Macaca fascicularis: one gene and its partners. The protein of the gene in region 3 interacts with the protein of the main gene of each other region in a pairwise test. Links are inferred from orthologs where the notes say so. Each region holds a gene or a part of one and is shown on either strand. Other genes may lie near its edges.

Region 1 (7,744 bases), on a different chromosome or scaffold from region 3:
CCTTCTGCCGTGGGTAGGCTCCCAGGAGTGGGAGCTGTAAGGAGTCAGCACTTCCAGGCTATGTCCTTACGGCACAATAACCCCCATGGAAAGAATTTTTCCCCTTCCCTCAGTAGTTCCAGCAAAAGTCCCAGGACCTATTTGCATTATCCTGAGCCAGGCACTGTGACTCTGGTTGGCGAGGTCTCTCAGGCACTGATCCCAGTCTGTGTGGACTGAAAGGGACAGAAAGAAGGGTGAGGCTCTGAAGGAAAGCCAGTGTTTCTGTTCCCAGAAGACAGAATAGATGCTGGGTGAGCAAAAACAACAGATGTCCATCCCAGAATCACAGTACTAATTCCCACCGTCACCCCCCCACCGCCACCTGCTTCCAGACTGCCTTTGCTTGCAATACCAGCCTCTTCCCGGTGTCTCAGAAGCAAAGCCTGCCTATTCTGGATTCTGCTCCTGCAGGCAAGTCCTGCCTGGGATCACTGCGAGGATGTCCTGTAGGGCAGGGATCCCCAACCCCCCGGGCCACGGCGCAGTACCCGGTACTACCATGGCCTGTAAGGAACTGGGCTGCACAGCGGGAGATGAGTGGCAGGCAAGCAAGCATTACTGCCTCAGCTCCGCCTCCTGTCAGATCAGTGTCGGCATCAGATTCTCAAAGGAGCGCAAACCCTATTATGAACTGCACAGGTGAAGGATCTAGGTTGTGCGTTCCTTATGAGAACCTAATGCCTGATGATCTGAGGTGGAGCAATTTTATCCCAAAACCATCCCCCCACCCTCGTACCCCATGTGTGGAAAAATTGTCTTCCACAAAACTGGTCCCTGGTGCCACAAAGGCTGGGAACCGCTGCTGTAGGGGTGTGCTTCTGCCCCTGTCATAGAGTCAATCTTTTGCAGCTAAGCCTGCTAAAAAGCCAGGATGAGAGAAGCTGGACAGGGAGAGGTAAGCCAAGAGTCTGGTGGTGTGAACAGAAACAGAGCTCTGAAGTGAACAGAAACAGAACTCTGAAGTGTGAGATCCAGCCTCCTCCCTGTGGTGTGGCCTGGCGCACAGTTACGTGAACTCAGCAAAGCCACTTCCTTGTCTCCAGTGCAGTTATTGCAAAGACTGCTGGACATTGTGTGTAAAGTGCCCGCTCCAGCACTCAGTTTAATGGTAGCTGTGGGGGTGTGATGTAATTCAGTAGCCTGTTCACTTTGCATCTTTTGTTCACAACACAGTTCAAAGCTGTTTTAAGAATACTTGTTAGGGCCAGACACGGTGGTTTACACCTGTAATCCCAGCACTTTGGGAGGCCGAGGCGGGTGGATCACTTGAGGTCTCGAGTTCGAGACCAGCCTGACCAAGATAGTGAAACCCCATCTCTATTAAAATACTGCGCGCCTGTAATCCCAGCTACTCAGGAGGCTGAGGCAGGAGAATCGCTTGAACCCAGGAGGCGGAGGTTGCAGTGAGCCGAGATCATGCAACTGCACTCCAGCCTGGGCAACAGACCAAGGCTCCATCTCAGAAAAAAGGAAAAAAAAGAAAACTTGTTAACTGGGTGCAGCAGCTCACTCCTGTAACCCCAGCACTTCGGGAGGCCGAGGCAGGAGGATCTTTTGAATCCAGGAGTTCGAGGCCAAGCTAGGCGACAGTGAGACCTCATCTCTATAAAAAAAATTAGCTGGGTGTAGTGGCACCCACCTGTGGTCCCAGCTACTTGGGAGGCCTAGGTGGGAGGATCGCTTAAGCCCGGGAGGTTGAGGCTGCAGTGAGCCAAGATCATACCAGTGCACTCCAGCCTGGGCAGCAGAGCGAGACCTTGTCTCAAAAAAAAAGAACACTTGTTGAGTGCTTGACGATTTGGAGTTTTTTGTTTGTTTGTTTTAGCGACGGACTCTCACTATGTTTTGCCCAGGCTAGCCTTGAACTCCTGGGCTCAAAGGATTCTGAGTAGCTAGGACTATGGGCCTGCACCACTGCACCAGGCTTGACAATTATGGAACTCATTTTACATTGTCTTGTTGAATCTTCTCATCCTTGGCTCCTAGGCCTCTCTAGCCATGGACAGCAGACTTAGAAAGTCTTGGTCAGCAGTTGGGCATGGTGGCTCATGCCTGTAATCCCAGCACTTTGGGAGGCCGAGGTGGGTGGATCACTTGAGGTCAGGAGTTCGAGACCAGCCTGGCCAACATGGTAAAACTCATCTCCACTAAAAACACAAAAATTAGCCGGGTGTGGTGGTGTGTGCCTGTAATCCTAGCTGCTCAGGAGGCTGAGGCAGGAAAGTCACTTGAACCCAGGAGGCAGAGGTTGCAGTGAGTTGAGATCACCCCGTTGCACTCCAGCTTAGGCAGGAAAGTGAGACTGCGTCTCAAAAAAAAAAAAAAAAATCTTGGCCAGGGTGGTATATCAGCCCAGCCTGCATCTGGCCCTGTCCTGCCATCCCATTCTGTCTGGATAGCAGAAGTAATGGCATCATTTCAGGAAGGGTGCCCTAAATATGCAGGCTAACAGCCTGAGTGTGTTGAGAGGAACTGGAATGGATTGTTGAGCCAGGGCCCTGGGCACCTGGCCAGACCACCCTCTGGCAGTACAGCCTGAGGCATACCTGACCGGAACCACAGCAGAGCTGACAGTGATGAATCATTCCAGGCATCCAGCTGACTGGGTTGGGGAGAACTTTTTCAAGAGTCCCTGTGTGATGGTAGTGGTGATAATGACTGTGATGATGACAGCTGTTCCTTAGCAGAATACACAATGCTTTTTTACTGTTTTGTTTTGTTTTTTTGAGACAAAGTCTCACTCTTGTCCCCCATGCTGGAATGCAGTGGTGTGATCTCAGCTCACTGCAACCTCCGCCTCCCGGGTTCAAACAATTCTCCTGCCTCAGCCTCCCAAGTAGCTGGGACTACAGGCGCCCGCCACCATGCCTGGCTAATTTTTGTATTTTTAGTAGAGACAGGGTTTCACCATGTTGGCCAGGCTGGTCTTGAACTCCTGACTTCAGGTGATCCGCCTGCCTTGGCCTCCCAAAGTGCTGGGATTACAGGTGTGAGCCCCCGCGCCCGGCCGCTTCTTTTCATTTGTGGTCTCATCAACTCTCCATTAACTCTGTGAGATTTAATGACTGCTTTATAGATTAGGAAACTGACTCAGAGAAGCTAAATGACTTGCCCAGGGTCACCCAGCTGAGAAGTCATAGAACTGGAGTTCAAATAAGGTGTGATCTGACTCCACCTCCAAGCAAACTGCCTTAAGTTGCCATTTTTAAAGCTCACAAGAATCCTGAAGTAGGCCACACCTCTCCTTTACAGATGAGGGTAAATGGCTTCCCATTGGCTACCCAGGCAGGGGCTAGAGTCTGGAAGCCAGATGCTGGGCTGCCTCCTGCCTCGGAAACAGCCAGCCTACTGCTCCTCTGCTGCTGGCCCACATGTAACCAAATTGCAAAGACTCCGCTTCGTCCCAGAATTGGAGGACCACATGCCCTCTGTTCCGCCTGCTGCTGTCAGCCTTCCCCACACAAGTGCACTCCTACTGGGCAGGCGTCAGAGATGCTGCCAGCACGGCTGCTGCTGGGCTTCCTGCACTGCCACTCCTGCCCTCCTGCTGCAGACCTGTCCCTGGCACAGCCCATGGGCTCCCACTGCCCCCGACTCCAGGAGCCTCAGGCTGCCCCCTTGTCCTAGGACTAGCAAAAATGAGACCGTGACTAAGGAAGGACTATATGCAAAGACTTGTTCTCGCATAGATGTTTCTTCGGTCAGCAAGTATTTCTTAAGTGCCTGCTCTACACCAGGCACTAGATTGGGCAGTAATTAGTGACACGACAGTAAGCAAGACAGACATCTCTCCAGCCCACAGGGAGCTCACTGCACAGGACAGCCAGCAACTGGTGGTGCTGTGAGGGGATGGAAGAGGCTGCAGAAGCATGGGGGGTCTGAAGGTGGGGTTGGCATGAGATCTGAAGGGTAAGGATGGTTGGCCAGGATGAGGGCAGCTTTGGGTATGTCCAGGTATGCAGCAGGGGCCAGTGGAGGGCCACCAGGAATGGTTCCCACCCTCTGGTAGAAGCACAGGTTCTTGATGGCAGGCTCTGTGGGCCCTGCTGCCCCAGTCCCCTGGGACTCCATGGGACTGTCGCCACTTGTTGACAGGTAGTCCCAATAAGAAGCATACCAGCCACACGTGAGCTTCTCATAGTCCTGTGAAGTCTAGAGCTCCAACAGGTTTCTAGAACCCTAGGGCTGGGCAGCGGCCCCTGGCCTGCTTGGGTTTGCCGAATAGTCCAGTGCTCAGCTCCTTCCTGAGTGAGTGATGCCAAAGTCTGGCTGCTCAGCGGCACCAACACCTGTGGTGGCCCTTTGCGTGTGTGCCGTGACAGCCCCAAACCTAGAAGAGCTGTGTTTGGCTTCCAGGGACTTTGAACACCCTTTTCCTCTTCAAGCCTTTTTAGTCTCCCGCTGTCCCCATGTGAGGCCCACCTTCCTCCTCGCCACCGCTGTTCCCTCCCTGCAGGTCCAGCTGCAGCTGCTGACAGGCATCGTGAAACTCTTTCTGAAGAAGCCAACAGAGACCCAGGAGCTGGTGCAGCAGGTCCTCAGTTTGGCCACTCAGGTGGGTGCCCCAACCGCCCCACTGTGCCCAGCACAACCCTCACTCAAGCAGGGGAACTTTTGTCCCAGGAACTAGACCTGGAAGCCAGGCCCACTCCTGAGACAGGTATCCTGTGGGTGGGACTGGCTTCCAGCCCCAGAGTAACCCAAGCTCCCTGCCTTCAGGGAGCTTAGAACACAAAGTGCAGTGAGGTCAAGTAGTGAAGTTGAGACAAACTAGACAGAGGAGGAGAGCCTGCGGAAGCCTGAGGGTGTGCGTTGGGGGCAGGAAGGGCAGGCCACAGTGGGCAGTTGGGAGTAGAGACAGGCACAGCCAGGCTGGAGTAGAGCACCATGGAGAATGAGCCCGATGCCGGGGTATGGCCCTGTAGGTGGTGTAGGGACAGGCTCATGGGAGTGCTGTCCCCATTGGCCAGCCCTGTGCCACACCTGGCTCATGGCTACAGGAAAACCTCCTCCCTTCTCACCTGGCTGCTCTAAGTTTCACGGGCTTCTCCTCACCCCCACAAGGACTCAGATAACCCGGACCTGCGGGACCGTGGCTACATCTACTGGCGCTTGCTTTCCACGGACCCGGTGGCAGCCAAGGAGGTGGTGTTGGCTGAGAAGCCACTCATCTCTGAAGAGACGGACCTCATCGAGCCCACACTGCTGGACGAGCTTATCTGCTACATCGGCACACTGGCCTCTGTCTACCATAAGCCTCCCAGTGCCTTTGTGGAGGGGGGCCGGGGCGTCGTGCACAAGAGCCTACCACCCCGCACGGCCTCGTGAGTGAGACTGGCCAGTAGGCCTGAGCCTCCACACCTGCTTTCCCAGTTCAGCAGCACAGGCACTCAGGCCTGGTGTGTTGTCCCCTGGCAAGGCCTGAGTCTGAGGAAAACTGACAACCTTTTCTCAGCTATTTATTGTACATGAGGTATTTGCTAGATGACCTCATTCCATCCTAACAACAGCTCTGAGAGCAAATGTCCCCATTCTTCAGGTGGGAACAAGAGACAAGGAGAGCTTGAGGGACTGGTCCAGGATCTCACAACTAGCAGAGCTGGGACTCAGACCGGTTCTGTCTCATTCCAGAGCCCTGTCCGTGCCTCCTCCTCTGCTTTTCCCAGGTGGTTGGTGTGACCTGGTGGCACCATCCTAGGGCACTGGCTTCCAGTTTTCTCCTTGGCATGGGCTGAGGGCTAGAAGCAGGCGGCCCTCTCCCTTCACTCATCCTCAGAGAGGGCCTGAAAGATGGACCTGCTGTGGGAATGGGGAAGCAGTGGGGCCGTGTGGACAGCGCTGTTGGGGACAGGGAGGAGACTCAGTGCCTGTCCTGAGGGAGGCGCCTGGAGGCTGGGGTCTCTTTGACCTTCCTGAGACATCCTGATGCCTCCGCCCTACTGACCTTCTCTCTCTTCTGTGTCCCGGCAGGAGTGAGAGCGCAGAGAGCCCTGAGACAGCCCCTGCCGGAGCACCTCCTGGGGAGCAGCCAGATGTCATCCCCGCCCAGGGCGACCTGCTGGGTGACCTCCTCAACCTGGACCTCGGCCCCCCAGTGAGCGGCCCACCCCTGACCACCTCCTCAGTGCAGATGGGAGCTGTGGACCTTCTTGGCGGTGGCCTTGACAGCCTGGTATGTCATGGGTGTCCTCTGGATGATGTTGATAATGATCCTCAGAGGAGCAGTCACTGAACGCCCCTCCATGCCAGGCACCAGCTGAGTGCCTCAGGTACATTATATTGAGCTCTTACCATTTACCCTCGGAGGTGATTGTGTAGCTCCCTACTTATGATGAGAAAACCAAGGTTTAGAGAGGCCAGGCAGCCTTCCCTCCAAGGTCGCACAGCCCCTGAGTGGCAGACAGGATTCCACTCCCTTGTTGGACCTTCGAGTCCCAGGAGATCCTGGGCAGGGAGGCCCATCCTAGCCCTTGCCCTGATCCTGGCATCATAGTCACCTTTGCCCTGTTAGGCTAGGGTGTTCCTAGCTTTGAGGAATCAGACTTGTGTCCACTTAGCTTCATGCTGCCCCAGCTGGGAACAGAAGCCCAGCCAGGCCTATTTGAGAGGGCATGGGAGGCCGGGGAGAGAGGGGAATGGGAAGACAGTAGGGAGGGGAGTGGTGAGACTAACGTGGGTATCTCCCTGGGGCTTCCTCAGGCAACTGGCAGGGCCAGGTGCTGGGGGTGGCTGAGCCTCTTCATTTGACTGTGCTCGACTCAGGTCCGCACGGTGGCAGCATGGGGGCAGGAGACTGGCAATTAGCGCTGCTAGGGTGAGGCAGGAAGGGCTGTGGTGCAGAACGGGTGCTGGGGTAAATGTGTGGGGTAGTGCCTTTCATAGAGACGGGGTCTGGGCCTCTCATAGGCCCCAACACAGCCTCACACCACTCTCCTCTCGGATGGAGCTACTGTTAACTAATCTCCTCCCTCTTTCCCTTCTCTCTCTTGTTCCTCTGTCTTCCTTCCTGGCTTTTTCTCTCTGCATGTGGCTGCCTGTTCTCTTCACCTGCCTGCTTCTGCTTGGAGATGGGGGATGAGCCTGAAGGGGTATGGTTCAACCCTTGCGTCACCCAGCCTTCATCCTTGCTCCTCCCGAAAGCGCTGGCCCAGCATCCCAAGGGGCGGGTGATGTCAAAGCAGCCCCCGCCGGCTGAGCCCCTGCCTTGGTCCCGCGTCCTGGCAGTCTCTGTCTTGACCAGCTGGCATTCGGCTACCACTAGGCCCCATAGCCATGGATTCTTGCCCAGTCCTCACCACCCCATGACGCGTCACCTTGTCATCCCAGGGATTGCCAGCCCTCAGTCCCACAACCCCTCTCTAATGTCCTGGAGGGAGAGCACCCGTCTGCATAGCAGGTCTCCACCCAGCCGTGTGTCTTGGGACCTCCTTTTATCCATGGGCTGAGTGTCAATTTGGGAGTGTCCCCAGCCCTTTCCCAGAGGTTACTTCTAAGGCTCAAGGCTTACAGGGCACGGGAGGGCTCAGCCTCTCTACTCCACCCACCTCTCTCTGTCTTGTTTCTGTAATTTCGAGTTGATATGGAGGCTGTCCTGCCCCCCCACCCCCAGTGTATTCTAAAGAGCCAGGTGGCTCTACTCATTCCCAGCCCTTGATGTCCTTGCCTCTTGATGCCTGCCTCTGACTCTTTCCCTCCCTTTCCA
Region 2 (8,182 bases), on a different chromosome or scaffold from region 3:
TCACTTCCAGCAGTAGGGAAAACAAATCACCTGTTTATACCAATAAAAAAAATGTCCATAAGTGGTAGAGCAGATGAGGTTTTCAGTATGAAATGGAAGGGGGAACACATAGAGAAAGAGCTGATAAATTCCACCTTTTATATATGACTGATATCTCAATAAAGCTGTTATTTTTTTAAGTCCACCTTTCATTTAAAGGTGCTTGATATAAGTATCAGAGTTGGGTCGGATACCCTTTGTAGCTTTTAAAAGAAAAAGCAGTGGCTCAACACGGACGGACGGGCTGAGTGACATGTACATGAACACCAAGCAGTGCTTTCCTTTCTTCCCATAAAAGCCCATTCCTGGGATTGAATCCCTTGCTGGTATTTTCCTCCTCCACACGGGGGACTCCTTCCCCTATCTAGAAATAAGCTTAAGCCTCTCACACCTTCTTTTTTAAAAACCTTGTCCCCTATTCCTATGTCTATGAGTGGTTACCACCTCGTCTCCTGTCCTTCACAGCTAAGTTCCCCAAAATAGTCTACACATGCTATTTAAATTTCTCCACCTCTTCACACTTCGCCCCATTACATCGAGAGTTCTATCTCCACTATTCCACTGAAAATGATCTGGCAAAGGGCATTATATGAAATGCTCACTGTAAAATCTACCAGATTCCTTCCTCACTTTCATTGAACTTTATGCAACATCTGGCATTGGTGAAACTTCTCATTCCACTCTGAAGGTCCCTTCTTCACCTCCTTTGCCTGCCACTTGAATGCTGGTGATCTAATACTTTGTCTTATTTTCCCCAGACTTCCATAACTACGCCAACCACATCCCACCAGAAAATCAGGCTTCTCTTAATGAAAGTCACATAGACATCCCCAAATCAACCTGCCCCAAAATAAGCTGAGTTCTCTAGCTCACCTTGTACCCCATCAGCAAACCAGAAATGTGGAGGTCACACCACTCCTCCCTTTCCTTCGCTGCTCTCTCCACTTTTTGTTGTTGTTGTTGTTGTGGGTCTCACTCTGTCACCTAGGCTGGAGTGCAGTGGCCCAATCAGGGCTCAGTGCAGCCTTGAATTCCCAGGCACAATCAATCCTCCCACCTCAGCCTCCAGAGCAGCTAGGACTACACGTGCATGCCACCATGCCCAGCTAACTTTTTTGTTTGTTTGTTTGTTTTTATTGTAGAGACGGCAGGGTCTCACTAAGTTGCCAGGGCTGGGCTTTAACTCCTGGGTTCAAGCGATTCTCCTGCCTCCGCCTCCCATGTTCTTCCCACTTCTAGAGGTGACCAAGTCTTATCAAACCTACCTATTTGATAATGGCTATTTAGTAATAGCCCTCCTTTCCAGCAAATGGGTTCAGGATCTCAAATAGTCTCCTACTGATTCTGTAGGTGCCAGTCTCAGCCCCTCCTGCCCTCATCCATTGTCCCAGTTCAGTCTTTTAAGATATGTAAACCTGATCTTTTTCCAGCCCTGTTTAAAATCTTTGCCTCCAAGCTTAAGATCTGAGTTGCAGCCCCAGGTCAATCACTAACTGGCATATGGCCCTAGACAAGTCACCTCTCCCAAATTCGCATTCATTAAAAAATTGAAGTTTGATCAACAACGGCAGTTTTCAAACTCAGAACTGTCTCCTGTGCAGAGGGGTAAAGGCCAAGTGAGCCAGGATACAGGATCCCCGTTTCTGATTTTACGTGGAGCAGCCTCACTTCCAGTCATTTTATTTAAGGTTCTACCCATGGGGCAAAAAGCTTAAAACGAAACAAAACAGAACAAAATCACCTGACTAGATTACTGTAAAACATCTCTCACCTCTCAAATGATATGATTTTTCTATGATCTTTAATAAGACCAAACCAAACACTGGATACAAAATCACACAAAGATACTAAATCACCAAAGATCATTCAATAATAAAGAGGAGTCCTCAATATTTAAGAAACTCTCTATGTCTTGTCATCTCCATTTCTTCCCAGCCATCTCCCTGACAAAATATCCAACCCGTATCTGGAGTGCAATAAATAGAAGCTGAGAAGAAAACCAGACTTCTCTCCCACCCTCATTTTATCCCATACTGTTACTTCCATGCATATTCCCCACACAAGAGAACTTTTTATATGCAGAAATGCTCTTATCTTAAATTCAGTAAATAATTCAAAAAGAAACAAATGGGGAATGAAGTAAATGTCCCCTCAAAAAATGTTCTGTAAAAGAAGAAAGTTTATTTCTTTTACCCTACTTAGAACAATCTTGAGAAATTTATTTTAGGGCATTCAGGGATTCAGATATTTATAAAATAAAGATGTATAGCATTAAAAAAATTTTCAGTGTTAAAAGCCAATCTATGAGTCATTTTGTAACATCAAAATTTAAAAAAACCTGTCCTTGGCAAAATTATCTGTCATATTTAACTGCACCCCCACCATAGCAACAAGGGTACTTAAAGTTAATAAACACTACTCACAAACAGATCTCTTATACACATAAAGTTTTTAAAACAGCTATGTGATTGAAATAGTCTACATATTCAAGGTATTTATACGTAAGATTCTAAAAATCAGATAAAAGGCATGACAAATATTAGTCATTGCTTTATAGATTTTCGGAGAAAAAGGATTAGACTATCTATACTTGTCTAAATTCAGATAATTACTCACACAATTTAAAATACTGACCCTACTTTCCCCTGCAATGAAATGAATTCATTAAACTCTTCTATAAAGATGATTAAGCATGAATAATCATTTATGCCTTCAATTATATAACTAGTTTTCAAATGATTTCCCTGCCTTTATCATTCCAGCCTCAGTAATTACCAGTGAAAACACCAGTTATTTTAAAAACACAAAGCTTTACCTTAAACCTATTTCATCTAAATCTTTATTAATCATTATTTAGAAATGTCATCACTCAAAAGTCTGCAATTTCCTAAATGACCTAACATTTGATTCTATTTCACCTTTATGATAAATAAAAATTATACCTTTTGTAAACAATCTTCAGATCTCGCCACTCAAGGAAGCTGCACATTTTAGGTTTCCGTGCTAAAACGGTCTGAACAAGTTCTCTTGTGATCTTTTTCTTCTCTTTGTCTGATAGTGGGACATACCATTTTTGCAGTCGAAGCTTTCCCTGACGACTAAAAAGCAACATAAACTGCATCTGTTAAGATAAATAAAATCAAGATTACATGTAATACTTTGAATCAATAAAGTTAAGATTATGTGTTTCACAGAGAAGCTTTGGGGGATGGGGCATTTAAATGACAAATGATTACTAGCCATCAATATTTCTATGCCAATTAAAATAGCAAGAAATTCTTTTGGACAGATCTTCTCTAGATGCAAACCTTCCAATCCCACCCTGTTCCACGTTAAGTTTGGAGGGGAGTGTGCAAGAGAAAAAAGAAAAATTTGTAATAAGCTGAAGCGAAATTTTTGAAGAAAAATAAAGACCACTCTTTCAATTTAAGAAACTATTTTCTACCTGTGCTATACATTGTGCACTCTCTATATGTATCAAAAGAAAATGGTAGACATCAATTGATTTGGGTATTTTTGAAAGAAACGGAAGACCTGCTATTTTTCACCCTGAGGCCGTTCTAGTTCCAGGGTGAACTACTTGTAGACAGTAGCTTATATCTTAGAATGCTCTCGTCGGTTTATGATGGCATATTTCAAGCAAAACAGAATGATCCAAAATATTAACCGAAAAATCTCATAACTACAAATTTTCCTTAATAAAAAAGTATGTTTTCATCTTACTTTTAAAACATTCCAACTTAAATATGTACAAAATCTAGAACTGAGTTAATGTAGTATTATGAAAAAGAAAACAAACATTTAAAAGGCCACAATAAGATTTACACTTGTTAAATAAGATTTAGTATTGAAACATTACATGAAATATTTTAAAAAAAATAGTATCTACAGATAGAGTGGATGCTGAATTCTAGTGTGTTTTATTACTTAAACTAATTTGTATGTATTTATTTGTGATCGCAAATGTGTTGATTAGTCTGCATGTTTCATTTTTAACCCAAGCTTTTTGTAATTCAATTGGTCATCTCAACTGCAAACAGAAGTATTGTTTCTACAAAGGTAATTTAAAGCCAGAATTCACATAGGTATCCTTTTTTCTTTTAACCACTGTAAGTTCCTTTAACAGCGTTACTGCAAGTAAGATTCAAGCATGATTCTCAAGATTCACCACACCATCTTGAATTTGAAGACGGGGAGGGGAAATTTACAGAACCAATGTAGAATAAAAATGGGCCCTAAATTTCGGTAAGAAATTATCGTCGTTTTTTATAACCACCCAAGAAGGTATCAACAAGATATCTAGAAATTTATGACGTGGCAATTCAACTTTAGTAAAGTTAAAATGGTCTTATTACCTCACTTAAAATGCGTCAGGGGAACAAAATATAAGGACATTATTAGATGATACCAAAGTGCCTCCCGTGCAAGTCCTGAAGATAGCGGCATTCGAAGGGAGCAGCAAGTGAAGCATCAACTGGACGTTTACTGCAAACCCGTTACCAGAACTTGGAAAAGAATGGATCTCGTATTCCTAGATCTTGGTGACCAGAAAGGGTGAGGGTTTGCTTGCAAAGAGTATGGGCTCAAGGCTGTCTGGAGCAGGGTCCTGTACCCGCCCTACCACTTTGCAGGACGAAAAAACAATGTATTCTCCTTAAAATAAATTATGTCCTAACATGGGACGAAACCCGGTTGCAAGGCACGAGTATTCCTTCCCTCGTGTTAAAAACCAGCGCTTTGATTTTGCCGCAAATCACAGGGCACCACAATTCCTCGAGATTGGCATTAAAAACAATGGGCTCAGCCGCGGCGCGGGCTCGGGGCCAGCGTTCCTCGGGTCCGGCCGTCGCCGGTGCCTCCCCCCCACTCCCGTGGCCACACTCCATCACTGACCAAGCCCGGGCGAGGTGACAGGCAAGGAGCGGAGCAGACAATGGCATCCGCCGCCGCGCAGGGGGCGCCAAGAGTCCTCGGCCGCCACCGCCCCCGGCCCCTCCCGAAAACGCCCCGCAAAACTTGAGGCGATTCCCGAACCACAGGTGCCGCGGGGCTGTCGCGGAGCCCGGGACTGGCCCCCACATCCCCGGGCGCGGCGCGGAGTGGTGCGGAGGACGCGGACCCTGAGAGAAGTGAGTTGCAGGCGCGGCGACCCAGTGGCGGGCCGGGCAGGCTCGGGGTGGGGTCGCGGGGCGCGCTCGGGGTGGCGGGGGGCGCGCCCAGCCCTCCCTCCCCCTCTCCATCCCCGGCGCCCCCTTTCGTCCCCGGGGACTTACGGCGGCCGCGGGCCGCGGGCGCGGCGGAGCTCGGCCGGCGGCGGCGGCGGCGGCGGCGGCGGCTAAGGGGAAGCCCCTGTCGCCGTGCTGAGGAAGAGAAGCCGTGGTGCTGTGGGGAGGGGACCCGGCTGGCGGAGGGCAGGCTTAGGCGGAGAGGGGAGGGCGAGCTGACAGACCCCGCCCCGGGGGCCGGACGAGGGAGGAGCCGGGGCTGCGGCGAGCTGAGGGGCGGGCTAGGCGACGCGCGGGAAGCGGCTCAGCAGTTGCCAGCGGCACCGGAGGCAGCGCAGGTAACCGCTGAATCCAAGGAAGCCGATTGGAGGCTTCTTTGCTGAGGGGGTGGTGCGAACCGGAAGCCGGGCCACGTGACCCGGAAGCGGCGTCTGCCGGGCCCGCGCGCCCGCGCACTCCTGCTGGTGCCTCCGGGACGCGCGCGGGCGGGTATGCTGCCTGTTTAATGATAGGAGGACGGGATTCTGCAGCGTCCTCAGCCTAGCCGGAGGTGCGGGGCCGGGAAGTTCCAGACAGCGAAGAGCCTCGTTTGAGCTCTAATGATTCTCTGTGTCCCCAGAGGGTGGGTCGGGGAGGTGTGACGGCTGACGACAAGGATGGGAGGAGACGAGGGAGTGCTGCAACTCTGGAAAAACAAGTCAGCTCTTCTGTGGAGCTCGTCACCCATTCACGGGCATTTTGCTATCATTCTGCCTCAAAATTGTCCGGAATCCGGCCTCTCCTTCCCATTGCACTGCTCCAGCCCTAGCCCAGACACCTTTCGCCCCAAGCTTCGCGGGAGTCTGTTCCCTGGGCTCGCCTCGCCCATCTTCGGTGCTGCGGAGTTACCATCCGTTCGGCTGAAAAGCCCGGACAGCACCTCACCTTCGAGATCCCGCTTCCTTCACACTGGGTCGCCCCACCAGCCGCCTGGGTTCCAGTTTAGCACTGCCGACGACTTGCTGTGCCTGGCATGTCCTTGCTCTCAAATGTCACATCTCCTATGAAGCCTCACCCTAAAACCCTGTAAGAGCGATTCCCTCTTTCACCCACATGCCCGTTAGCCTTTATTTAGCACACCTTAAGTTGTATTCATTTTGCATCCCAGTCTAGTTCACTGCCTGGTGTATAACACAATAAATGTGAGTTGACTGATAAAGACCATAAAATGATAAATTTGTTAAGAGCTGTAATGCTGAGCGTAATGCCGGGGCATAATGGATGTTCGTAATTTTCTGAATGATAGAATGGATGAATCATCTAGTCATTTACAGATAAGGAAAGGGGAGTCCCACGGGATTAGGTGACCTTCCTTGAAGAGCCACGGGTTTCCCATATCGCATGCTATTCATTATCCGAGTCACCTAGGTTCCTACAAAGGAAGCGAGAAAATTGCTTTTGTTGGGCCATGTCCCTTTTGCAAAGGTTCCTAGGTGTAGTCGCCAGAATTTTTTTAATGGCCTAAAGTAAAAGAAATGCTAATTTTTTCACGAAGCTAAATGTAATCAATGTAAAGGAATCCTTTATTAGGAATTATATTCTTTTTGTGTGCATTTTAGTATCTACGAAACTAAGACAGTAGTTTTGGGGGCATTTTAAAAAAGGCCTTTGTATGACAAAACAAAAAAATGTGTAATACTTCCCCTTTTCAAGCACTACTATGCTGCTTGCAAAGTCTCCTACTAACATGTATGATTAATGTATACTGGAATATTAAAGAAAGGGGATGACACATGGCACAGAGCTGACTTTCTGTAGTTCTTTAGGTTCCTTTCGCCCCCAACAGATTTCTCCCTACCCAGTCATGCCCCAAAGGTACTTTCAAATGTCCCATTTCTCTCTTACTACAAGAAACAGATGCCATTAACCAGTGAAAAGATAGCTCTAATGCTACACAATGAAAACTCGCCCTCTGAATTCAAATGCTGCTTTTCTCTTTTTCTGTACAAAACACTTACATCCTCAAGGTTCCTGAGATAGCCACCTCCAAGTTTAAACTGATTATCCTCCTAATGTTGCTCTGTGGCTCTGAAAATGAGGACGGGAGACTTGCTGATGACATACTGGCAGTCTCCCTTCCTGCTCCTAGCCAAAAAAAGGTGGGGGTAGGGGTAGGGAGGGGAAGGAATTGTGGGAAAAATAATTAGCAGCTGAAAGCAGCTATTACATAATCTTGGCTGCTTATTAATTTAGCAGAAGGAATGGCTTATTAAATTCTAATAGCAGCAGCACAACTGCAAACAACCTAGCAATTACCAGTGCAGGGCCCATTATTTTGTTAATATGTTCTCTTCCTTTGGCAAGTGTATGAGAACAAAATTTATAGAAGCAGATGGTCTTTTTCAGTAGATTATAGATGGTTTATTCCCTAGTCTTAGTATTAAGTGCTAATTATGCATTCACTGTGAAAGACAAAAGAAACATGGTTGCCATCTTTGTTAGTAATTAACTGCTTGACTTTGATTCCCACAATTTCCCAATGGTAGGCTTTGTTATATACATGTTTCTTCTCACCTAGTATCTTCTTCATCTGTCATGTCAATTGGTTATCTTTTCTAATCCTCTGTTTTTGTTTTCCACATGGTCCTGATTTATTGGTATTAATAATGATATAAGAATTATATACAAAATTCGTTTCATGAAAAATTAAAAATCAGATTTTATACTTGTTTCTTAGATTTGAAAAAAATGCTTCACTGTCATTTATGCTAAATGTAAGAGGTGAGGGGAAAATAGAAATCTTTACCTTCTAACCATAAAATTTTGAGACTTTTTATGTAATCTTTCCAAAGTTTTCAAAAATAATTTTAGTTTCCTATTAATTGTGTGATGGCCATATACTTTTATCCTCTCACTCTCTCAAAATACCATTAAATTTT
Region 3 (7,744 bases):
GGAGAACTGCTTGAACCCGGGTGGCAGAGGCTGCAGTGAGCTGAGATCACGCCACTGCACTTCAGTCTAGCTGACAGAGTGAGATTGTCTCAAAATATAAAAAGGCCGAGCAAAGTGGCTCACGTCGGTAATTCCAGCACTTTGGGAGGCCGAGGCAGGTGGATCATGAGGTCAGGAGTTCGGGAACAGCCTGACCAAGATGGAGAAACCCCACTGCTACTAAAAATACGAAAATTAGGGAGGGCACGGTGGTGCGCGCCTGTGATCCCAGCTACTCAGGAGGCTGAGGCAGGAGAATCGCTTGAACCCAGGAGGTGGAGTTTGCAGTGAGCCAAGATCGCACCACTGCACTCCAGCCTGCGCAACAGAGCAAGACTCCATCTCAAACTAAAAATAAAAAAAAAGTTGTATTGGACTCGGGTTTATCATATTGCTGAACATGTCGATTACAAATGAATGTTATATATGAACAAAAGAAAAAATATTCCCAAATGAAAAGTTATGTTTCAATATTATGAGTGATTGCTCCTTCAGTTGCTTTAATTACAGAAAGTGTGGAAGGGAAGTAAGATAAAAGGTAGGCAGTAGGTTAACATCTCTCCACAAATGGTCACAGCTACTGAAAACTAACCATGAGTGGGAAGACACCAAGAAGAAGTCATGTCTTGGGACACTAAAAGCAAAGGTGATACAGGATATATTTTTTGAGCTTGAAAGGGAAAGTAGTTTTTTTTTTTGGAGACAGAGTCTTGCTCTGTCATCCAGGCTGCAGTACACAGTGGTGCAATCTCGGCTTACTGCAACCTCCATCTCTCAGGTTCAAGCAATTCTCCTGCCTCAACCTCCGGAGTAGCTGGGATTATAGGTATGCACCAACTCACCCGGCTAATTGTTGTATTTTTAATAAAGACAGCTTTCACCATGTTGGCCAGGCTGGTCTGGAACTCCTGACCTCAGGTGATCTGCCTGCCTCGGCCTCCCGAAGTGCTGGGATTACAGGCGTGAGCCACTGTGCCCGGCCAGGGAAAGTAGTTTCTATCTTAAAAAACTATGAATAATTTATTCACCCCAAATTAGAAGTTTGCCTTTAAGAAATCCCTATAAATTATCTTAAGAGCATTAGCATGACAACGTATAACCCGGATATTGTGAAGATTTGATTCTTGCTTCTCATTTAGCCTCTCCCATCTTCAAATGATTCACATGCTGGAAAGTCTGGGTTCAGTTTAGTTTTTCTCCAAGGCCTCTATCTTTTCCCAGGTATTAAATAGCTCCAGACTGGCCTCACCTGTAAGGTTGATGTCTCCCAGCAAATCAAGAAGTTCTCCACCAGCAGAAGATGGTTTGCTTGTAGGTGCAGTTGGAATAACAGGTGTTATGTCATTTCCTCCCAACAAATCCAATAAATCATTGGCCTAAACAAGGTAACAACACCTCAATTCATTATTATTTGTCTAGTTTACATCTAAAGCAAAGCTCTTTCAATATGTAAAAATAAGGAAGGAAATCATCAACCAACCCAGGAACATTAAAAGGACTCAGCTAAGAGACAAGCTATAAGGGACTATAAAATCATAAGAAGCCCCAGATGAGCAAGTGAAAGGCTGGCTACCTGGCTGGTGGGCTGTGGCCCAGAGGGTGGCGGTTTGGTCTCTAGTGGAGCTGGTTCTGTCTCTCCATTTGTCTGCACAATCTCAGTAGGGCCATTTGTGGTCACTTTTTCCATGACAGGCATTCTCTCAAGTAGAGCAGACCTAGAAGAATCTGAAGTGGTTAAATTCTAGGCAGTTAACCTAGATTCCCCACCCAAAATAATCACCATTAACTATGTTGAGCCCAAGCATGGAGCTCCATCTCCCCTCCCCATCCAACACACACACTAAAATAGAAGGTAGATTACAAGAATACATGACCTAAATTCCTGGCTGGATTAAGGGCAGACAAAAAAATCTTGAATAAACAGACTGTCCAGCTAAATCCCAAAGCATATATTTCAGTGGTAGGGAGATTGAGATGAAAGAAAGGTAAATCCATAGGTATTAACAGTCAAGAAGATACTGCATAATAGAAGAAAACAAGATGACAAACACTAAAATGTTAACAGTAATGGAATTTGAATGAGATTATTTGTCTTGAAAAAATACAACTCCTACTTTTTTTTTTTTTGAGACAGAGTCTCACTCTGTCGTCAGGCTGGAGTGCAGTGGCATGATCTTGGCTCATTGCAACATCCACTTCCCAGGTTCAAATGATTCTGCTGCCTCAGCCTCCCGAGTAGCTGGGACTACAGGCATGCGCCACCACGCCCAACTAATTTTTTTGTATTTTTAGTAGAGATGGGGTTTCACCATGTTAGCCAGGACAGTCTCAATCTCTTGACCTCGTGATCTGCCCACGTTGGCCTCCCAAAGTGCTGGAATTACAGGCGTGAGCCACCACACCCGGCCTCCCACTTCTTAACTAAATAAAATAGAAAATAAAGCAAAATTTCCATACCAAAAAAATGTAAGGGTTGGAGGTGGAATGAAAGAAGGGAGTTAATTTATTTCTTTAGAGACTAGGCAGAACAGAAGACGGACAAAACAGAAGCAGTCAAGCAATTAGAACTAAATAGGGATATGAGGACCAATTAATAAAGCACAAGGAATGAATCTTCTTTATGAATTACCATGACAATTTAGCCAGGATACTAAGATATACACGCATTACTTAGTTTCTTTCGCTCACCTCATGTGGTCATATTTCTTGAAAAGTGCATTATATTCTACTGCCCTCTGCTGGAGTTCCACATCAATGCTGCTTCCATAGATGGAAACCACTTTCTTAATTCGGCTATAGGATAAAATGACAAACAAAATCAAATAACCAAAAGAAAATTCACAAATAAGCAGAGATAATGTTTAATAAGCCAGAATTTTCTGGTTATAATACTGAAATACTCATCTTTTCTTAATTTATATAATTTTTCAAAAACAAAACACTTCATTTTCATCCATTTATCTGACATTCACATTGTACTATTCTCATTGCAACACTAGATTTTTGTCCATTAAACATGCCGCCCCCATTCTGCAGCAATGATGGTGTGGAAAAAACCTATATATATGCCACTCCCTAAACTTTGCTAGACAAAAGTACCAACTATTACTTTGCCACAAAAAAAAATCTGTACTGTTCATTCTCTTCTTTGATAATTTTAAAATAATTTTTAATCTATAAAAGGGTCAGAGCATCAAAATGTTGACCCCACATTCTTCCAGTTCAGAATTTTAAAAGTAATTCAATACCATTTTTTATAAGACTTCACATTTAAAAGTAAAGCAGAAAGACTACAAGAACTAAGTTTGCCTTAAATATGGGAAACTGACCTGAGAATCTACTTTATTCAAAATAGCAAAGAGAAGAATTAAAATATTTAATCACCAAAACATTCATGATTGTATTCCTATTAAGACATGTCAAAATATAAAAAACCAAAACCTAATCCCAGCACTTTGGGAGGCCGAGACGGGCGAATCACGAGGTCAGGAGATCGAAACCATCCTGGCTAACACGGTGAAACCCCGTCTCTATTAAGAAATACAAAAAACTAGCTGGGCAAGGTGGCGGGCGCCTGTAGTCCCAGCTACTCGGGAGGCTGAGGCAGGAGAATGGCGTGAACCCGGGAGGCAGAGCTTGCAATGAGCTGAGATCCGGCCACTGCACTCCAGCCTAGGCGACAGAGCGAGACTCCGTCTCAAAAAAAAAAAAAAAAAAAACCAAAACCTTGGCCAGATTACAAGGTCAGGAGTTCGAGACCAGTCTGGCCAAAATGGTGAAACCCCATCTCCACCAAAAAATACAAAAATTAGCCAGGCGTGGTGGTGCGCACCTGTAATCCCAGCTACTCGGGAGGCTAAGGCAGGAGAATTGCTAGAACCCTGGAGGTGGAGGTTGCAGTGAGTCGAGATCGTATGCCACTGCATTCCAGCCTGGGCAACAGAGCAAACTGTCATCAAACAAAATGAAATATAAAATACAAATAAACCAAAACCTTTATGTGGAGAAGTAGATTCTCAACTTAAAAAGAAAAAAAAAGGTTATTAGAAATCTCATTCTAAAAACATAACTTTTAGGCCAGGTGGAGTGGGTCACATCTGTAATCCCCGCACTTTGGGAGGCCAGGGCAGGAGAATCGCTTGAGCCTAAGAGTTCAAGACCAGCCTGGGCAACAAACAAAAACATTTAAAAATTTTTTCTCTACAAAAAAATTGGCCGGGCGCGGTGGCTCAAGCCTGTAATCCCAGCACTTTGGTAGGCCGAGACGGGTGGATCACGAGGTCAGGAGATAGAGACCATCCTGGCTAACATGGTGAAACCCCGTCTCTACTAAAAAGAAAAATACAAAAAACTAGCCGGGCGAGGTGGCGGGCGCCTGTAGTCCCAGCTACTCGGGAGGCTGAGGCAGGAGAATGGCGTAAACCCGGGAGGCAGGCGGAGCTTGCAGTGAGCCGAGATCCGGCCACTGCGCTCCAGCCTGGGTGACAGAGCGAGACTCTGTCTCAAAAAAAAAAAAAAAAAATTTAAAAATTAGCCAGGCACAATTGTGTGCACCTGTAGTCCCAGCTCCTCGGGAGGCTGAGACAGGAAGATCCCTTAAGCCCAGGAGTTCAAGGTTGCAGTAAACTATGATGGCACCACTGCACTCCATCCTGGGTAAGAGAGCGAGACCCTGTCTCAACAAACAAACAAACAAACAAACAAAACTCCCTAACTTTTTTGCTTCAAAATAATCCACAAGGGAGTAAAAGAATGAGAGGGAACAAAGTGCTGATGAATAAAGATTAACTATTAATTGATCATTGTGACTGTTGAGAAATAAGTAATGCAAATTTGTGTTATTATTCCCTCTACTTTTGTTATGCTTGAAAATTTCCAGGATGTCAAGTTTTTTTTGTTGTTTTGTTTTTAATTACAAAACCTGTTCACCCTGTGTTTCTTCAATACTCACTTTACAGTACAAGTGAATCGAGTAGAAAGCTTCATAATGGCAGTGAGGGCATAACCTCGTGTCACAGAGGTGGACATATTAGAGATTAGGACACTTTCTAAAATATCCAATACTTCATCCTCTGTTACCTGAGGAGGAGGAGGAAAAAGAAGACAATGAAGAATGAGTAGCATGATTAGGCATCTAAATCTGGTATTAAGTCAGTGGATGCAGCCAGAAAGACAATCCTACCATTACAAAAGCCTCTAACTCAACATGTGCTTTACTAGGGTAACTGTCCAAGGTGTTCTATTAACAGAGTAGATGGGGGTAAAAAAAGTGCTCTGGTTCTATCAACTACAGCAGGTGAGGGTAAAAAGAGTGAAAAATGACCATTGGGGCTAAGAAGCAATATTAGAACTTCAAGTGGCAGAAACAGAAGAAGAAAAGAAAAACATACAGAGTTTAAGTGCTGTTGCCTTTTAAAAGGGCAATTTTAAAATTTTCCTTTTTTAAAGGAAAATTTAAAAATTTTCCCTTTTAAAGCCAGTCCTTTAATGTGCCAATAAGAACATAGACACATGTCTCATTTCTTCCTGTTTATCAGCCAGAAGGTAAGAGAAACAATTAATTCAGTCCACTAGGACAGAGAGTTGGGTCTAAAGTGGTTTTAAAATCTTACAATGGGGCCGGGCAAAGTAGCTCACGTCTGTCAATCTCAACACTTTGAGAGGCCAAGGCAGGCAGACTGCTTGAGTCCAGGTGTTCAAGACCAGCCTGGGCAACATGGTGAAATCCTGTCTCTATAAAAAGTAGAATCAGCCAGGCATGGTGGTGAATGCCTATAGTACCAGCTACTCAGGAGGCTGAGGTGGGAAGATCGCTTGAAACCCAGGAGATTAAGGCTGCAGTGAGTTGTGATCCTGCCACGGAACTCCAGCTTGGGTGACAGAGTGAGACTCTGTCTTTTAAAAAAAAAAAAAAAAAATCTCACAATGGCTCAATAAGTTCCGTTTCAAAAATTGGCAGGTTTTCCAATATAATTCTAGTTCGATTCTTTGAAAAGTTGGATATTTTTTAAAATATTTTGAGACAGGGTCTCACTCCTGAGTAGCTAGGACTAGATACCATCATACCTGGCTAATATTTGTGTCTTTTGTAGAGACAGAGTTTCACCATGTTGCCCAGGCTGGTCTCAAACTCCTGGGCTCAAGCAATGCTTCCATCTCAGCCTCCCAAAGTGCTGGGATTATGGGCATGAGCCACCACACCTGGCCTAAAAAGTTTTCAAGGAATCAACCTCAACTCCCCATTAAACACTACTCTCCTATAACCAAAACCACTATTTTCCCCCACTTAACCAAGAGTGACAAGGAGTACCTGAATAGGCTCTTCCTCTTCACACTGGCCAGATACAAGAAGATCACCATATTCACCTATACACCATGCAGCCACTTGTACCAAAGGTTGCTGTGAAAAGAAAAGTCAACATTTCTCAAGGACTTCAATTTTTCCAAAGTCATTTAATGCAAATAATAGGTCATCTCATAATAAAGATCAAAACTGTGCATATCTAGAGTATTAGAAATAAAGACATACCAAAGGGGAGAGAGGAGGGGAAAAAAAAAGAAGAAAAATATACCAGAAAATTTGAGAGTAAAATTATCCCTTAGCTAAAATAGCTGAATGAAGTACTTACTTGAGAATAATCACCAAGAATTGCTTTGTACAGGCGCTGGACAGTATAGGCATGCATCTCCACACTGTTAGTTATTAACTGGATTAAATTGGGGACTGCATCATCACGAACATAACTTCCTGCCTAAAAGGAAATGCAGACAATTACCCCTAGAAACACACAGCAGTGATGATAACAAGTGTTAGCTATTATTATTACTGTGTGTTTCTTTTTTCTTTCTTTCTTTCTTTTTTTGAGACAGAGTCTCGCTCTGTCACCCAGGCTGGAGTACAAAAGCGCGATCTTGGCTCACTGCAACCTCCACCTCCCAGGTTCAAGTGATTCTCATGCCTCAGCCTCCCAAATAGCTGGGACTACAGGTGCACGCCACCATGCCTGGCTAATTTTTCTATTTTTAGTAGAGATGGGGTTTCACCATGTTGGTCAGGCTGGTCTCGAACTCCTGACCTCAGATGATCTACCTGCCTTGGCCTCCCAAAGTGCTGGGATTACAGGCGTGTGCCACTGTGCCCAGCTATTATTGTTGCTTTTAAAAGAAGAATTCTACAAAACACCCTAAAGATAAATTTGGTTCCAATTCTCAGGTTCATAACAGCTCAAACTTCAAAGTCTTACTTAAATATGTTAAATTTTTAAATTTTATTTTTAAAAATTTTCTCTTTGTCCAAATTAAAAGCAAGGCTGGGCACAATGGCTCACACCTGTAATCCCAGCACTTTGGGAGGCTGAAGCAAGAGGACTGCTTGAGGCCAGGAGTTTGACACAAGCCTGGGCCACACAACAAGACTCCATCACTACTACTACTACTACTACTACTACTACTACTACTACTACTACTACTAATGATGATGATGATGATGTAAAGGTTTAAAACTTTATCACCCAACCTTGGTCAATCTCCCATTCCTAAATAGAACAACAGATTTAATTTATAAGACTGAGACCAGTCCTAACCATGTGTATTTTGGAAAGGAAAAAACAAACAAACAAACAAAAAACAGCTAGGTGATCACGGTTTTATCAGACCACTACGGTTAAGAAACACAAAGAGGAAGAATTTTGGGAAAATGGTCAAA
Region 4 (7,744 bases), on a different chromosome or scaffold from region 3:
CTCCTGTTTTCTTCTTTTCCGACAACTCCTATTTCCGCAAATTCAGTCCTGCACTTACCAAGAGCAATGGGGTCACTGCTGAGGCCTGGGGTGGCCACAATGATCTGATCCAGAGATTCCTTATTGCTGAGCATCTTAAAGACCTGCAGGAGAAATGGGGAGGGCTGAGCACTCCAACCAACTCAATGCACTCATCAAATGCCCACATTGTGCTGAGGACTTCCTCCCTTTAAGTGCTTGCATGTACATCACCACAATGGAACAATAGCCCCGGAAACAGATGAACCTCTTTTTGGTCTAAGATCGTAGCTTACTGGAGGGGAAACAAACAATTAAAAAAAAAAAAAAGAAAAAAAAAAGGCAAGACCACAGTAAACCTTCAAATCTCTGTGCTCCTTTTCCCCACCTACAGTTTAATGCTTCCAAAATAAAAGCTCTCATTACAAGCCCAGTAACAAAGGTTTCTCTAGGTTCCAAAAGTCCTTTTCAATCTCTGTACAATTACTATTTCATATTTGTATATATTGCTAAGTTCACAGCTGTACTAATTTTGCCTCTCAACTCTCCTACAGAGAGACATCAGCCCACTTCCCCAGTAAGGACAACTAGGTCAAGGGGCAATAAGCAGGCAGTTCAGCCAAAGTCAAAGAACAAGGTCCAGCAGAAACAGTATGTGGATCTTTTGGCTGTCACCGTATGGGCAGGTTGTATGGTTATCATTAGAGGGAATCAGCAATGCCTGACTGAGACAGGCTCTTTGGGGAAAGACAGGGCTCCACTGAGGCCCACAGACATGGCAAAAACTCCCCAAGGAACTCTTGGTTGTCATGGAAACAGGCTTCCAGCTCCCACTCCACACCACTCGCCAGCCAGCGTTCACACCCTCTCCTACAGTCCTGGCTGGGGGCCGTGGCACACACTCACCGCTTCCCTGTAAGAGGAGCTGCTGTGCAGGGCAGTGTGCAGCACCCGGAACTCTCTCATGGCAGCCACTTTGTCCACAGGTTCTGGCGGACAAGACACTCAGAGTTACCCTACAGCACAGGCCCTGTCTCTTCCACAGACATGGTAACATCATTTCAATGTGCCAAGGAGCAGCCTGGTCTGTGCATTCCCTTCCCTCATTACCCCTTAAGAATGTGAGTGCCCACTCAGAAAAACCCATTTGTGCCACGGATGTGAAAACTGCTAGTAAGCATCTTTACGTTCTCTTGTAAGCATCTTCCACAGATAAAACAAACAAATTCAAGTTGTGGCAGAGGAGAATCTTACCACATGAAAAACAGTGCTCTGATCAACATCCCACTGCAGGAATTCCAGACTAATAACATTTGGTTGTTGGTGTTTTTGCCTTTGTTTTTCAGACACAGTCTCATCTCTTGCCCAGGCCGGAGTGCAGTGGCGCAGTCTCGGCTCACTGCAACCTCCACCTCCCTGGTTGAAGCGACTCTCGTGCCTCAGCCTCCCGAGTAGCTGGGATTACAGGTGTGCAATTATCCACTCTTGGATAATTTTTGTATTTTTAGTAGACACGGGGTTTCACCATATTGGTCAGACTGGTCTCAAACTCCTGACCTCAAGTGATCCATGTGCCTCGGCCTCCCAAAGTGCTAGGATTACAGGCATGAGCCACCATGCCCCGCCCTGGGTCACACTTTTTAAAGTATGGTTATCCTCATGAAGGACCACTACTTGTGACTGTACTGACTGTGTACTGCCCTACTCCAGGGGCACCACTCCCAAAGCAAGGTCAATAGCACCCCTGGGGTTCAGTGTGGCAGCCACATCCTTATCGACAGTCCTGATCATGAGGCTGTCTTTTGAAAAATAGTCACCGTAAGTAAATTACCTAATTTATTCATTCAACAAACATGTACTAAGCATTTACTCCATGCCTGACTTTGGACAAGGAACTAGAATGTGAAAAATAAGAACCCCTGCCGTCAAGGAACTCTTACGGCAGTAGGAGAAATGAGACTACATCAAACACACAATTACAAAATGCCACGCTGAGGACCTCAACAGAGATGTGGATCCCAGCTAGGGCACCAGGAACACAAAGGCAGACAGCCACCACTGAGACGGAGGGTAAAGACAGAGAGCTGCCTCCCAGAGGAGACCATTTGAAATGGGTATCAAAGAGAGAGCTGATATTTACTGGGGGGTGAAGGTATTCCAAGCCTAAATGAGAACATGTGCAAAGGCATGGAAGAATAAAAGAATGTGGTGCTTTGAACAAACAGCAAGTCATTCTTTGTGGCTGGAGCTTGGGGTACACATCCCAGCTCAAACAGCAGGCTAATAAGGTGAGGTCCTGAAGGGATTTGTAACCTGCCATGGAGAACCACCAAAGGGATCCAGCTGGGAAGACAGATAACAATGGGTTCTCCTCCTACAGACCCTAATCTGTAGGAGAACACGAAATGTGATTCCTTTGTGAAGAAAAGCACTCAAGGAGAAAATATCTAAAACACTGTCACAAGACAGTTTCTTCACAGATCTAAGAGTTTATTGTAACCTTCCAATAAAAAGGTCATTTGTTTCAAAAATAATCCTCCAGGTAGAAGGTGGGAGGAAAAGGACTCTTAATATCTTAAGCCAGTATTCAGCTAAGAGTCATGGCTGTCACTGTAAGACCTCTGAGCTAAATTCATCCTTTGAAAGTGGAAGGCAGCCAGCCCAGTGGAAATGGTTTTCCTCTTGAGCCAGGAAAACCCCTGGTCCATATCCCAGCTCTTGCATTCACTTTCTAAGTAGCTGACCTTGAATAAATGTCTTTCTAACCCTTTTCTTCCTCCATAAGATGCTAATGCTGTTACCTACCCTGCAGGGCCACTGTAATGATTAAATGAGGTATAAAAGGGAAAAAACCTGGCTCACAGAAGCCACAAATGTTATTTTCCTTCTGTTAATGCCCTCCAGCCAAAGAGCTGAGGGGCATATCTGTATTTAAACTAGTTGGGCGTACTGCTCAGTACAGAGAGAAGAATGAACACCATAGGAAACCATGGGCTGTCTCAGTAAGAGGATATTAGAAAGGACTTCTTGTTTTTTTTTTTTTTTTTTTGAGACAGAGTTTCGCTCTTGTTGCCCAGGCTGGAGTACAATGGCATGATCTCGGCTCATGGCAACTTCTGCCTCCCGGGTTCAACCGATTCTCCTGCCTCAGTCTCTCAAGTAGCTGGGATTACAGGCATGCACCACCATGCCCGGCTTATTTTTTATTTTAAGTAGAGACGGGGTTTCTCCATGTTGGTCAGGCTTGTCTCGAACTCCCGACCTCAGGTGATCTGCCCGCCTCGGCCTCCCAAAGTGCTGGATTACAGGCATGAGCCGCTGAGCCCGGCCAGAAAAGACTTCTTACACGATTTTGGCTTTGTCTGAGTGATTTGCGGAAAAATTTAAAGAAGTGAGGTTTTACTCCGGATAGGATGCTTTCGGCAGTGGGAGTGATTTTATAATTGAGTATTTTAATAACTCTTACCTAGAAGGAAGGAAAACTAGAGCAAGGTGGAAGCTGTAATTGGCAAAGAAGCAGCTATTACTCTCATCAGCCGAGATAGAAAGATACTTGGTCACTTTTGTGATTTGGATAATGCTCATGTTTTTGTCTCTGTTCAGCAATGATAGGGATCTTGTTTTTGTCTTAATCCATAGTGGTCTCAGAGTGGCCTTGACTGATATTGGGGATCTGTACAATTGTTCATGTTCCCCAAAAGGACACCAAGGCCTGGCTGTGAGTGCCAGGCCAACCTCTGGATGTCAGGAACTCCGTTCCTCTTTCTCACTTCCCATCAGAGTATGAAAGACATTTTTGTCTTTTACGGTTAGAACTGAAAGGGGGGTAAATTTCAAACTGATAACTAGTCACAGCAATCATGAACATTATAAAAAGATGTCAACCTGCCAGTTTAACAAAGCTAATCTCTTTTACACAGCTTAGCTTTATTCTTGGGGAGGCTTTTAAAATACACATGCAAAATTTAAATCATGAATTCCAAGCACCTTCTATTTATAAACCAAAAAGGCATCCGAGGCTTTGTATATTTTCTCCAAGAGCTATTTAAATACTCTTTGAATAGCTTCAGGAAAATAAATTACCAGTATAGCAAGAGCAGTTAGCTGACTGAACAAATCACCACCTGAGGCAGTTTGTAGGAAGATTTGTTAACAAGGGAACAAACTGGGGCATTAGGAAAGTGCCAAAAGTTTCCAGTTTTTTTCTAATGAGAACAACAATAACAAAAGGATACAAAGTTTACTTTGTATCACTGAAAAATAAACTGTTAACTTAAAGGAGTTTAAGTAGACACAAACTCACTATCCCATTAGGAAACAGTGGATGACAAACTTAGAAAGTGGAGAAACAGTCAGGAATGGTGCCTGTACTTTGGGAGGCTGAGGTGGGGCGGATGGCTTGGGTCAGGAGTTCGAGACCAGGCTGACCAACATGGAGACACCCCGTCTCTACTAAAAATAAAAAAATTAGCTGGGCGTAGTGGCACATGTCTGTAATCCCAGCTACTCAGGAGGCTGAGGCATGAGAATCACTTGAACCCGGGAGGTGGAGGCTGCAGTGAGCCAAGATCAAGATTGTGCCACTGCACTCCAGCCTGGGCAACAAAGTGAGACTCTGTCTCAAAAAAAAACAAAAACCAAAAAACAAAATGGAGAAACAAATCTCCCATTAGTGATACCAGCAGTAAGAAGGTCAAAATTGGACTCTGTTTATCAGCATGGTTTAATCCAATAAGTAATAAAGATATCATTTATCATCAGCTCAGTAAATCATCCCTTTGTTCCACCCAGGCTTGTGTCTCAAGAACACACAGACCTTTCCCTTGCAGATATTACAGAAACTCTGCCTGCTTAAGGGCTGACCCTCACTCACCTGGTTTCTGATCAGGTTCGGGCCAGGACTTTCGCAGAACATGGACGGTGGACCCAGGTTGAATACCATAGAAGTCAAGTGTCTGGTCATCTTTTAGCTTCCGACCACAGTAGATCAGATCTAAAAAAAGAACTGTCCACTTACATTTTGCTCCTCAAAACAAATTTAGATAGTTTTTGTTCCCTGAGAACCTTATTTTGATTGGATAGATAGCTGGAGAATGATACATGTTTTAAAAGATACTCTTATTTAATAACTTAATACTTTTTTTTTTTTTTCCTTAAACAGGGTCTTACTCTGTTGCCCAGGCTTGAGTGCAATGGCACCATCACGGTTCACTGCAGCTTCAACCTCCTGGGCTCAAGCAATTCTCCCGCCTCAGCCTCCTGAGTAGCTGGGACTATGGGCACATGCCACCACACCCAGCTAATTTTTGTAGTTTTTTTGTAGAGATAGGGTTCTGCCATGTTGCCCAGACTAGTCTCTTAACTCCTGGGCTCAAGGGATCCTCCTGCCTTAGCCTCACAAAGTGCTGGGATGACAGGCGTGAGCCACCACGTCTAGCCAATTAAATACATTTTAACAACTATTTGCAAATATAAACTCATAAAATGGACTTACATAGAATCTGGCCAGATATGGTGGCTCACGCCTATAATCCCAGCACTTTTGGAGCCTGGCCAACATGGCGAAACCCTGTCTCTACTAAAAATACAAAAATTAGGGCCGGGCACGGTGGCTCACACCTGTAATCCCAGCACTTTGGGAGGCCGAGGTGGGTGGATCACCTGAGGTCAGGAGTTCAAGGCCAGTCTGGCCAAGATGGTGAAACCTCGTCTCTACCAAAAATACAAAAATTAGCCAGGCATGGTGGAAGGTGCCTGTAATCTCAGCTACTCAGGAGGCTGAGGCAGGAAAATTGCCTGAACCTGGGAGAAAGAGGTTACAACGAGCTGAGATCGTGCCACTGCACTCCAGCCTGGGTCACAGAGCGAGACTCCGTCTCAAAAAAAAAAAAAGAGGATTCACATAGAATCTATCCATAGAGAAGCTCTAGAGTTTAACATTGTGGAGACTGCCCAATTTAAATCAATGGAAAAACAACAAAATAGGATGAACTCAATCCAGGTATGACTGAAAACATCTTTTTTGCCAGTTGGATCCTTTAGCTATTATAAATTACCTTTCCAGTATAATTTAATTATATTTAAATTCCTCCCTCCTCCACCTGGACTGCTCACGCCATTTTCATTTTCTTTTTTACTGCCTTTCTTTTAACCAATCAACCAAGCAAATCCTCCTAATCATCCCTTAAGACCTACCTCAAATATACTGAGGAGCCTCCCCTGACCAACTTCTCCTTCCCTAACTCACCCCAAACGTCTGTTCTTTCAGAAAAAGAATTCACAATGTTGGCCAGGAGCGGTGGCTCATGCCTGTAATTCCAGCAGTTTGAGAGGCCAAAGCGGGCAGACCACAAGGTCAAGAGTTCAAGACCAGCCTGGCCAACATGGTGAAACCCCATGTCTCTGCTAAAAATATAAAAATTAGCTGGGCATGGTGGCACATGTCTGTAATCCCAACTACTTGGGAGGCTGAGGCAGGAGAATTGCTTGAACTGGGACCCGGGAGACAGAGGTTGCAGTGAGCCGCAATCGCAAAACTGCAGTCCAGCCTGGGCTACAGAGCAAGACTCCGTCTAAAAAATAAATAAAAAATAATAATAATAAATAAATAAATAAAATAAGACAATGTCATAAAGAACCTGGTGATAAAGTACTTCAGTATAATACATGGCTGAAAATGGCAACCAGTAGTTTCATTATATGATTTGTGTTTCTATTTACCCAACACTCACTTCCCTGGAGTGTTAACATTATGAGGCAACAAATCCCAAGCCCTTACTTTACTTACTCTTGTAATTTCAGAAGTATCCTCCCCTAAAAGAGATCAGAGCAGCAGCCCAACCCCATTCCAGAGAGACTCACCAATCAGCTCAGGGTCTGGAACAGACTCCTGGAGTTTGCCAGCAATAAGCTGCTTCAGAAATGAAATACTATAGCCCCCAAGCGAGTATTCTCCCAGTTCTGTCTCTGGCAACCGAAGAATAGACTTTGGAGCAAGTGGCTGGTCAGCCAGCTTCACCGCCAAGTGCCAGTCTGAGAGAGACATCCTCTCTCTTTCGCGCTCTCTCTTTCTCCCTGTAAAAGAACAAAGCCTCAGTGGTTAAAAGACAGACCACCACCCTACTCCACCCCCACCCACCAAAGGGTTGAATAAAAGACAATTCAATGTGACACTGTTGAAGAAGCACAGGGTGCACTATCAGGAGGCCAGAACTAGAATCTGGGGTTCTCTCTCTACTCATACTGTGATGGACAGCTCTCTAGGCCTCAGTTTCTTCATCCCTAACGTGGACATAAAAACGCCATCCAACCTAATAGGAATGTTATGAAAGAGATCATCTAACCCTCTCCCTTCTGTATGCTCCTTTTCCCAATTTTCTTCAACTCTTGCTTGAACCAGTAGAACAGCTTTATAACAAGTTCCCTAACTCTTGCCTCTCCCTATCAAATATCTGTGCTGCCACCTAACAACCTATCATTCTAAAACACAGATCTGATCAAGTCACTTCTTTGCTTAGAACTCTTCCAATGTTGGGCTGGGCGCAGTGACTCATGCCTGTAATCCTAGCACTTTGGGAGGTCTAGACAGGCGGATTGCCTGAGCTCAGGCGTTTGAGACGAGCCTGGCCAACATGGTGAAACTCATCTCTACTAAAAATACAAAAATTAGCCGGGCATTAGTAGTGCACACCTGTAGTCCCAGCTACTTGGAAGGCTGAGGTTGCAG

What was found.
Region 1: the proteins of AP1G1 (region 3) and AP1B1 interact in a two-hybrid assay, tested with the Homo sapiens proteins (2 studies listed by BioGRID, with this or other methods). The link is inferred for Macaca fascicularis from reciprocal best matches to the Homo sapiens genes AP1G1 and AP1B1.
Region 2: the proteins of AP1G1 (region 3) and AP1S2 interact in binary tests that used the Homo sapiens proteins (3 or more experiments, as listed by UniProt). The link is inferred for Macaca fascicularis from reciprocal best matches to the Homo sapiens genes AP1G1 and AP1S2.
Region 4: the proteins of AP1G1 (region 3) and UBL7 interact in binary tests that used the Homo sapiens proteins (3 or more experiments, as listed by UniProt). The two-hybrid records come from large-scale screens. The link is inferred for Macaca fascicularis from reciprocal best matches to the Homo sapiens genes AP1G1 and UBL7.

What each region holds. Positions count from the first base shown.
Region 1 is NC_088384.1:22,326,471-22,334,214, forward strand, and holds part of AP1B1 (AP-1 complex subunit beta-1), read left to right. Parts: intron 1-4,498; coding exon 4,499-4,597; intron 4,598-5,106; coding exon 5,107-5,366; intron 5,367-6,012; coding exon 6,013-6,214; intron 6,215-7,109; coding exon 7,110-7,130; intron 7,131-7,744. UniProt on the Homo sapiens protein: Subunit of clathrin-associated adaptor protein complex 1 that plays a role in protein sorting in the late-Golgi/trans-Golgi network (TGN) and/or endosomes.
Region 2 is NC_088395.1:15,671,307-15,679,488, forward strand, and holds the start of AP1S2 (AP-1 complex subunit sigma-2), read right to left. Parts: upstream 5,463-8,182; 5' UTR 5,313-5,462; intron 5,169-5,312; exon of another isoform or gene 4,917-5,168; intron 3,161-4,916; coding exon 2,982-3,160; intron 1-2,981. UniProt on the Homo sapiens protein: Subunit of clathrin-associated adaptor protein complex 1 that plays a role in protein sorting in the late-Golgi/trans-Golgi network (TGN) and/or endosomes.
Region 3 is NC_088394.1:68,621,549-68,629,292, reverse strand, and holds part of AP1G1 (AP-1 complex subunit gamma-1), read right to left. Parts: intron 6,792-7,744; coding exon 6,669-6,791; intron 6,440-6,668; coding exon 6,350-6,439; intron 5,119-6,349; coding exon 4,991-5,118; intron 2,833-4,990; coding exon 2,728-2,832; intron 1,755-2,727; coding exon 1,613-1,754; intron 1,416-1,612; coding exon 1,289-1,415; intron 1-1,288. UniProt on the Homo sapiens protein: Subunit of clathrin-associated adaptor protein complex 1 that plays a role in protein sorting in the late-Golgi/trans-Golgi network (TGN) and/or endosomes.
Region 4 is NC_088381.1:51,561,442-51,569,185, forward strand, and holds part of UBL7 (ubiquitin-like protein 7), read right to left. Parts: intron 7,093-7,744; 5' UTR 7,064-7,092; coding exon 6,880-7,063; intron 5,012-6,879; coding exon 4,892-5,011; intron 1,008-4,891; coding exon 925-1,007; intron 144-924; coding exon 59-143; intron 1-58.